Linked DNA regions of Caenorhabditis elegans. The protein of the gene in region 1 interacts with the protein of each later gene in a pairwise test. Each region holds a gene or a part of one and is shown on either strand. Other genes may lie near its edges. The genes, in order: F25H2.4 and emc-2.

Region 1 (3,634 bases):
AGGTACGTTTTCACGAAATTACAAAATTTTAGGCCCAACCAGTTAAATTATTATTTTTAGGTTCACTACCAAGACCTCAAGGACAAACCATTCTTCCCATCCCTCATCGAGTACATGAGCTCTGGACCAGTCGTCGCCATGGTCTGGCAAGGACTTGACGTCGTCAAGCAAGGACGTTCCATGCTCGGAGCTACCAACCCACTCGCTTCCGCCCCAGGAACCATCCGCGGAGACTTCTGCATCCAAACCGGACGCAATATCTGCCACGGATCCGATGCCGTTGACTCTGCCAACCGCGAGATTGCTCACTGGTTCAAGCAGGAGGAGATCAACGACTACGCCAGCCCATTCATCAACTCATGGGTCTACGAATAAACTGATTGCTTATGTCTCCCGGTGTTTTCACCGTTTTCGTATCTCTGCTGAATGTTGATAAAGTATTGCTTCCCACCTAAAACATCGTTTTTGTTGACATCTATTCCTGCGCATTCTCTAATGCGTTTTCATGGCAACCAATCCTACACGACTCAGCTGTCATCAAATCTTTTATTCAACCCGAAAACGGAAGGGGATTAAACATATAATATATTCAGATGACTGCAATAAGTTATGAAAACACGAATTAGGATAATAATTTCAGCTTTTAAGCTCTGAATTCCGCCACTTGCACGAGTTTGTTGCTCAGATTTGTGTTATAGAAGTCGAACTCGGGATTGTCCAAATGGTTTTCGAAATCGGAAAGCTCTCGGTACAACTTCTTCTGAATAACAGCTTGAAGGCCACGCAAGAAGTTGGAACCTTGGAAAATCGTTCTGAAATGAATATACTAAATGAATATATAACATCAAATGTTTTTTCCTACTTCGTTTCTTTCCAACTATCTCCATCTTTTTCATATGCCACGAGGCGGTCTTGTTCACAATCTGACACCAGTCTTTCGTTCATCACTTGTACGAGAATCGCTGCCGAAGAGGTAACAGAAGATATTCTGTCGGCGAGTCGAGTGGCATAAACGTTGAGAGAAGTGTCCGATGGAGTTGCATTTGAGAAATAGACGCCGACGAGGGAGGCACCAAACTTTCCATGGACGAGGGCTGTGGCAAGTTCCAGAGGAGGTGCGAGTGGAGTGGATTCATGGCAAAGAGGAACACAACTTGTTACCTGGAAAATAAATTATCAGATAGGATGGCAAATTCATTAAATTAAAACATTTCCCTGACTCAGAAATCTAGTATCGCATAACTCTTCTCAAAACGTAGAAAAGTATTTTTTATGCTCTCTTCAGCAACTGTTCATCATTTTGAGGTGGAGAGCGTAATTATTTTTTCTTGCTTTCAGCTTAGCAATTCTAATATATCGATAATTGGTATTAAAGACGACTGTCTTTGGAGAAAATAAGCGTACCGACATGACGATCAACTAATTTAAAATGTTCGCATTTAATGAATTAAACAAATAAAATTGTACCGTGACTTTGTCTCCTTTCTTGTTTCCAATCAGCAGTCCAAAAACACCCTTTGCCGGGTATTTCAGGCAGTGAAGGATGATTGTCGAGTAGGGGAGAGCCTGTGTTTCGACTTGATGCTTCATCTGCAAATTACTTGAATTTTAGCGAATTTTGTTTATTATTTGAAATCATCTAACAAATTTTAGGTATTCAGGATTGTATTGAACAATAAAAGAAGTTGAATACAGCGGTTTAATGAAAATAAATTAAGAAAAACAGTTATAACGTTGTTCTCTCTCGAAAATCGTCTTTAAAATTGAGTTATATTACATGAATAGATTGTTTTAGGAATAAATAAAATTAAGAAACATTTTAAACTGGAATCAAACCATTAAAACAATAAAAGAATCTCGAACACTCAACAAATATAAACTAAAAATCGTTAATTCCAAAGAGAGCATTTGTATTCTCAATGGAGCGCACTTGCGCAGAAAATTTATCAAATAAAAAAAAGGAGGGAAACAAGAAATTTCAAATGATTTTGATGTTTTTAAAGTTTAATTCGGATAATAATCATAAAATTAGGGAACAGAAAATCAAAAATTACATAAAATCTATGAAGTTCCTGATGAGAGCTCTTGAGCTCAATAATTCGATTGAAAATTCGTTAAGATTGGTGGAGCACAGCGCCTCAAATCGGGAGAGTTAAGAAAATTGAGAATTGGAAAGTCCAACGGAGCGCGCTTGCACACTTTTACGGTATTAAATGAGTTTCAGACGAAATTTCGCGATTATTCGAGTTTTCAAGATGAAATTTGGAAAAAATAATTAAATATTGGGATTATTATTGCTTTAAAAAAGTTTTAAAAAACATTTTATTGAACAAATTCAAGATTTGGCTGCTTTTTCATTGATTTTCGAACCGACTAGAACAAGTTAACTCTATGACAAAATTTCTACGCGAAACAAATTTTTTCAAGCATTAATATGTTTGATTCCAATTTTTAAACGTCAGCTTGATAGAAATAACACGGTTTCAAGTCTTGAAATTGTTCAAAAATGCACAAATCAACGGAAACTGTTTAGTTGGCAGCTGATCTTCACTAAACCAACACTAAATGTTCAGATCAAATCACAACTTGTTTGATCATTTGAAAAAACATTTTTGAATCATTGTTTCCCACAAAAAGCAGATGATAAGTAGTATAGCATGATGAGAATCCATATGATTCTTCATATGCGCATAGCTATAAATACTGTAACTTCGACAACTCCTATCTCCTCAGAGAGGCAAGATATCAAAAAGTGATTAACTAAGAAATTGCAGAACATATCAAAAACTATACTAATTAATTAAAATCATGTGTTTATCTCTTAAGATGAGGGAGTTAGAGCAGCCAGTATAATAACAAAAAGTATGCAATACAAATGTACGTCTAACTCCCCCATCTTGAAAGATAAAAACGTAGGTTAAATTGAATATCATAGTTTTTGATGTGCTCTACAAGGTCTCAGTTGATCACTTTTTGGTATCTCACCTCTCCGAGTAGATAGGAGTTGTCGAAGTTGAGGTATCTAGAGCTGCAGAGGGTAGGAAGAATCTGATGGTTCCTTATTAAGGAAAAGAAAATATAACACGAAACTTGTAATAAATGTTAATTTGATCATTTATGTGAGTATTTGAGCCATTTTTTAAGGAAAATTGGAGAGCAACACTTACATAAGAAATTTGGCGTGGCATAGATCCATTGGTAGATTGGGACATTGAAATTTGATCAGAACTATTTTATTTTTAGTGATTTTGATCGATTTGTAGCTTTATTCTAGTGAAATCTTCGATTTCATAAAAGGTTTTTAACCAATTTTGCAAGATTTCCCTTGATAAATGTTGCTTTCCTTTTTTATCGATTTCGTTGTAAAGAAAAATCATTTTTCTGTGTTATCAGTCAAATTAATGACTAAAACTCTTTAAAACGATTCAAACTATTAGCAAAAATTCTAAAATTGAATATTTATGCAATAAATTGCTCTAAAATCAATTTTTGTTTGCAAAATTCTGTTTTTGGTCATCAAAAAAAATTTTCAGATTTGCCGAAATTCAGAGCTCATTTCGAGCTTATTTGGGGAAAAATTTATATTAAAATGAAGTAAATCGCATCGCAAACAGTCTCTGGGCGGTCCCGCATG
Region 2 (6,252 bases), on another chromosome or scaffold:
TCGAGGAAGCTGGTATGCCACCTGGAATTCTCTCATTCTTGCCATCAGATGGCCCCGTTTTCGGTGACGTCATCACCGCATCTCCACACTTGAGCGCTGTCAATTTCACTGGCTCCGTGCCAACTTTCAAGACGATTTGGAGAAAAGTCGCCGAGAATTTGGATAACTATGTGACTTTTCCGAAACTCATCGGAGAATGCGGCGGAAAAAACTTCCACTTTGTGCATCCATCCGCCCACGTGGACGCTGTCGCCGCTGGAACCGCCCGTTCCGCCTGGGAATATTCGGGACAAAAGTGCTCGGCGTGCTCCAGGATGTACGCGCCAAAATCGATTTGGCCAAAGATTCTCGAGAAAATCTCGGCGATTCACAAAGAGATCAAGCTTGGAGATGTAGGCCACTGTTTGGCTTGCCGATTTTTGTGTAGTTTGTAGTTTACAGGTTCGCGATGGATCCGTCTTTCTGTCGGCTGTGATCGATGATAAGGCGTTTGCCAGGCTCAAGGCCTACATTGACTTTGCGAAAACCGGAGCCGACGGAGCAAATGTGGTGCTCGGCGGAAAATGTGACGACAAAACGGGATACTTCATCGAGCCGACCCTGATCACTGTGACGGATCCGAAGAGCAAGCTTCTCACTGAGGAAATGTTCGGACCGGTGGTGACGGTACTGGTCTACGAGGATTCGAAGGTTGATGAGGTGCTCGCGACTGTGAAAGACGCGACACCTTATGGGCTGACTGGCGCCGTTTTTTCGCAGGATAAGGAGTTCCTTTATAGGTTGGCAACTACAAAAAATACAAGTTTTTGCACAGGTTTTCAGGGACTCAAAAATTTTATCTAAAAACCCAGCGGAAAGAAGAAAAACTCGAATTTTCGGGTTTGTTATGTTCAAAAATGCTGAAATTCAACATTTTAGGCACAAGAAAACTGCCAAAAGTCGATTTAAAATTATTCCCGGAAAATTCGAAATCTTGAAATTCTGTTTTTTCGGCAATTTTCAAGAAATTTCTCTATAACCGAACAAAATAGGTTAAAAAATGTCGAAAAACGATAATTACACAATTTCTCCAATAAAAACCCTCGAATTTCGTCACAAATCAAATGAAAAGCTAGAAAAACTGGCAAAAATCGAAAAAAAAAAGCGATAACAACAAACAAAAAATTTGAAAGCGACAGTAAGATGTTCCTGAGCGTGGCGAGACCCAACAGTGAAAGTGTGTGTCCCTTTAAAGGGCTACGGTATTTTTTATTGGAATTTTTGTTGGATTTCGATCGATTTTTCGAGATTTTTGAGGCGAATTTTTGTGTTAAAAACGTTTTTCAACAAAGTGTTTTTTTTTCTCAGAGCTCGCGATGTTCTCCGCGACGCCGTCGGCAACATGTACCTCAACGACAAATCAACTGGATCAATCGTCGGCCAGCAGCCATTCGGAGGCTCCAGATTGTCCGGAACCAATGATAAGGCCGGTGGCCCCCACTATGGGCTCCGATGGACCTCGCCGCTGACGATTAAGGAGACGTCGGTGTCATTGACTGACTGGAAATATCCATCAATGGAATAATTATGTTGTTTTTTTCTTTTCATTTCCGATTTTTCTCATATTGAGAATATAGTTTTCTTTTTGATTAGGTCAACAATTATTGCTTTACCACTGAATTTTAATTTTTTTTCCCCCGTGATCGCATAATAAATTTTGTTTTTTTTCCTTTTTTCCAGCTATAACCGTTTATTTTATAGTTTTCTCGCTATTTTTATACCTTCCAACCGAACTTTTCCATTAAAAAGTTGGAAAAAATCAATATTTTTCAGAAATTTCCCTCCCGAAAATGGTTGAAACCGAGTGGACGCAAGTCTCTTACGATGGTAACATTCTACAATATTCAAATTTTGAAAAAAAAATCGATAAATGCTTGCAGAAGGACGTCAAGCGCTGAAAAAGTGGCGAGAATGCGGAGTTCGACGAAGTGATGAGGTCGTCGAAATTTGGGAGCACGTTATTTCACGCTCACCGGCTTCTCTTGGAGACGAGCAATGGGCTGTGTTGGAGCAGGTGCTGAAATTTTGTCGAAAAACGCTGAAAATCCTGAAAATCTGGCTTTGAATAGAAAAAAACCATAGATTTTCTGGTTTTTTTGGTGAAAAGCATATTGGTCTGCTAGACTACAAACTACAGTATTATATTTAGCAGACCCACGCTTTTTTCTAAGTTATCACGTTTCTGGTTGATTAATAGTGAAAATAATACAAATTTCGGCGAAAAACTGGAAAAAATCAATAAAAACGGTCATTTTTTACTGAAAAAATGATTATTTTCGAGAAAAAATTCAATAATTTGGGTCTGCTAGACTACAAACTACAAATTCATATTTAGCAGACCCAAGTGGTTTCGATGAAATTTGGTCTGCTAGGCTACAAACTACAAATTCATATTTAGCAGACCAATGTAGTTTTGAGGAGATTTGGTCTGCTAGACTACAAACTACAAGCTTCGATTTAGCATACCCATACTCATTTTTCACGAGAAAATCGAATTTTCACCTAATTTTTCCAATTTTTTTCAGGTGTGCATCGCAGCACTCGACGCGGCTCGTGTCGATCTGGCTCAGGATTGCATTGACCAACTTCACGCACAATTTCCGAAGAGTAATCGAGTTTTGAAGCTGAAAGCGATGCAGTTGGAATCTACGGAACATTATCAGAAGGCGTTGGATATTTATGAGCGACTGGTTGAGGATGAGCCCAATAATAATGTAAAAAATTCAGGAAATTTTTTTTTTGCAAAATTTCTAATAATTTGAATTTTCAGAGCTTCCGCAAGCGAAAAGTCGCGGTTCTTCTCGCTCAGGGAAAGCGTCTCGACGCAATTCGAGCTATCAACGATTACCTGAAGGTTTTCATTTGATTTCTAGAAAAAAAAAACTCTAAAATTTATTAATTTTCAGATTTTCCTGAACGACCCAGAAGCTTGGCTTCAGCTCAGCGAGCTTTTCCTGCTCGAAAATGACGTGGCAAAGGCGGTACATTGCCTGGAGGAGTGTGTGCTCATTTCGCCGCTGAATTCCATGTATTTCAGACGATTAGCCGATTTGAGATATACTCAAGTATGTGTGTGGAAAATTGGAGAAATTTGGGCCTGCTGGGGGCTACAAACTACAATTCATATTTAGCAGACCCAAATACATTTTCAATGGAAATTGGTTTTTTCTCGTTTTTCTACTTTTTTTTTTGAAGAAAAAAAATCGAAAATTGTCAGTTTTCCGTCAAAAAAATGTCAGAAAAACAAATTTTCAACGAAAATATATTATTTTAATGCAAAAAATGAAGAAATTTTTAAAAAATATAGAGAAATTACCGAAAATGATTGAAAATTGATTTTTTTTAAGGAAAACTAAAAAAAATTGAACGGTCTGCTACAATGCAAACTACAAAGTACAATGTTCGATTTAGCAGACCCAAGTGATTTTGAAAAAATTGGTCTGCTGGACTACAAACTACAAGTTTCGATTTAGCAGACCCAAGTGATTTCAATTCGAAATTGGTCTGCTAGACTACAAACTACAATGTTCGATTTAGCAGACCCAAGTGATTTTGAAAAAAATTGGTCTGCTAGACTAAAAACTACAATGTTCGATTTAGCAGACCCAAGTGATTTTGAAAAAAATTGGTCTGCTAGACTACAAACTACAATGTTCGATTTAGCAGACCCAAGTGATTTTGAAAAACTTGGTCTGCTGGACTACAAACTACAAGTTTCGATTTAGCAGACCCAAGTGATTTTGAAAAAATTGGTCTGCTGGACTACAAACTACATATTCATATTTGGCAGACCCAAGTGATTTTGAAAAAAATTGGTCTGCTAGACTACAAACTACAATGTTCGATTTAGCAGACCCAAGTGATTTTGAAAAACTTGGTCTGCTGGACTACAAACTACAAATTTCGATTTAGCAGACCCATGTGATTTTGAAGAAATTCGGTCTGCTAGACTACAAACTACATATTCATATTTGGCAGACCCAAGTGATTTTGAAAAAAATTGGTCTGCTAGACTACAAACTACAATGTTCGATTTAGCAGACCCAAGTGATTTCAATTCGAAATTGGTCTGCTAGACTAAAAACTACAATGTTCGATTTAGCAGACCCAAGTGATTTTGAAAAAAATTGGTCTGCTAGACTACAAACTACAATGTTCGATTTAGCAGACCCAAGTGATTTCAATTCGAAATTGGTCTGCTAGACTAAAAACTACAATGTTCGATTTAGCAGACCCAAGTGATTTTGAAAAAAATTGGTCTGCTAGACTACAAACTACAATGTTCGATTTAGCAGACCCAAGTGATTTCAATTCGAAATTGGTCTGCTAGACTAAAAACTACAATGTTCGATTTAGCAGACCCAAGTGATTTTGAAAAAAATTGGTCTGCTAAACTACAAACTACAATGTTCGATTTAGCAGACCCAAGTGATTTCAATTCGAAATTGGTCTGCTAGACTAAAAACTACAATGTTCGATTTAGCAGACCCAAGTGATTTTGAAAAAAATTGGTCTGCTAGACTACAAACTACAATGTTCGATTTAGCAGACCCAAGTGATTTCAATTCGAAATTGGTCTGCTAGACTAAAAACTACAATGTTCGATTTAGCAGACCCAAGTGATTTTGAAAAACTTGGTCTGCTGGACTACAAACTACAAATTTCGATTTAGCAGACCCATGTGATTTTGAAAAAATTGGTCTGCTGGACTACAAACTACATATTCATATTTGGCAGACCCAAACTATATTTTTTGCAGGGAGGCGCCGAAAACGTGGAATTGGCTCGTTCCTACTACGAACGTGCGCTCAAAATCAACCCAACCGATTTGAGATCTCAATACGGAATTCTATTGGTAAGTGTAGTTTGTAGTTTGTAGTTTGTAGTTTGTAGTCTATATTAATGTTTCAGAGCAACAATTTGATCGCGGCGACCACCAAAAATGCGACGGAAAAGAAGAAAGCCGGAGCTGCAGCAGTTGATGCAATCGATAATTTGGTTAATCGTTATCAGAAGGTAGATTTTGATAAAATTAATAGTTTTTAATTGGAAAAAGCTCTAAAAACTCCAAAAAATGCCGAATTTCGGCTGTTTTTTCTTGAATTTTTTGAAAAAAAAATTCGAAAAAAATCGTGATTTTTCTAAAAATAACCTTAAAAAATTCCAGATAAGTCCAAAAAGCAATCCAGAATCGGACGGAATTCTCAATTGCCTCGAAGCCATGAAAGTCACTGTTGGAAGCAAATAAATTGTCAATTTCCTCCCAAAAAATGATATGCTTTACGTACATTCCCCCGAATATTCGATTATTTCCTATTTATTTTCTGTTAAAATTCAATTTTTTTAATGTCTATCGAAAGTATATTTATCGAAAAAAAGAACTCCTCAAGAATAAATAAATGTGATGATTTTTGCCACCGTTTTTGCTCCATTTTAGAGTCTTGGGTCTGCTAAATAGCTTTTTGTAGTTTGTAGTCTGGCAGACCAATTTTTGATAGCAATTTTTAGACTAAAAACTACTTTTTTCTTGAAAATCTTGAATTTTTGCGTTATTTCACATCTATTCCGGTTTTTCCGGCTCCTTTTTGGCGCTGAAATCGATAAGTTGGGTTACTGTAGCCTCAGAAGTACGCAAACACCATGCGACTCACGCAAAAATGCACAGAAACCTGAAAGATGCGCGAAAAAAGCCATACATGGGTAAAAATTTGTGTAGAATTCAATTTTTGTGTCAGAATCGTTTAAAAAATCAGTGAAAAATGATAATTTTCAGAAATGTTGAGCCAAAAAAAAATTATTGATTTTTGTGCATTATCAGTTTTAAATTTGGATTTTTATGTTTTTTCACCCATACGAGACTTTTTCGACTCCATTCGAGTTGTAATAAAAATTTCCGGGTTACTGTAGCCTCAAAAGTACGCAAACATGGAACACTTTACGCAAAAGTGCAGAGAATTCTAAAATTTGCGGAAAAAAGCTGCATAAGGGTAAAAATGTGTGTAGAATTCAATTTTTGATATCAGAATCGATAATAATCAGCGGAAAGTACACAATTTTCGTGCTACAAACTACAAAATCCAATTTTCTCGAATTTTTCCGTAGAATTCCGTATTTTAGTTCCTGAAACTCCCCTAAGAAACAGAGAAAAAGCAAAAAGAGCTCCCTCTTAAGAGGTGCTAATTTGTATAAAAAAGAAAAACAAATTAGCGCGGG

What was found.
Region 2: the proteins of F25H2.4 (region 1) and emc-2 interact in a two-hybrid assay, tested with the Caenorhabditis elegans proteins (3 studies listed by BioGRID).

The regions. Positions count from the first base shown.
Region 1 is NC_003279.8:10,549,935-10,553,568, reverse strand, and holds F25H2.4 (MPN domain-containing protein), read right to left. Parts: upstream 1,598-3,634; 5' UTR 1,591-1,597; coding exon 1,468-1,590; intron 1,162-1,467; coding exon 863-1,161; intron 813-862; coding exon 644-812; 3' UTR 522-643; downstream 1-521. Other genes in the region: ndk-1 (Nucleoside diphosphate kinase), read left to right, coding at 1-2, 61-375.
Region 2 is NC_003280.10:1,301,697-1,307,948, reverse strand, and holds emc-2 (ER membrane protein complex subunit 2), read left to right. Parts: upstream 1-1,812; 5' UTR 1,813-1,829; coding exon 1,830-1,866; intron 1,867-1,919; coding exon 1,920-2,053; intron 2,054-2,397; exon of another isoform or gene 2,398-2,448; intron 2,449-2,564; coding exon 2,565-2,753; intron 2,754-2,809; coding exon 2,810-2,893; intron 2,894-2,945; coding exon 2,946-3,104; intron 3,105-4,798; coding exon 4,799-4,894; intron 4,895-4,950; coding exon 4,951-5,055; intron 5,056-5,206; coding exon 5,207-5,287; 3' UTR 5,288-5,450; downstream 5,451-6,252. Other genes in the region: alh-6 (L-glutamate gamma-semialdehyde dehydrogenase), read left to right, coding at 1-392, 442-779, 1,348-1,564.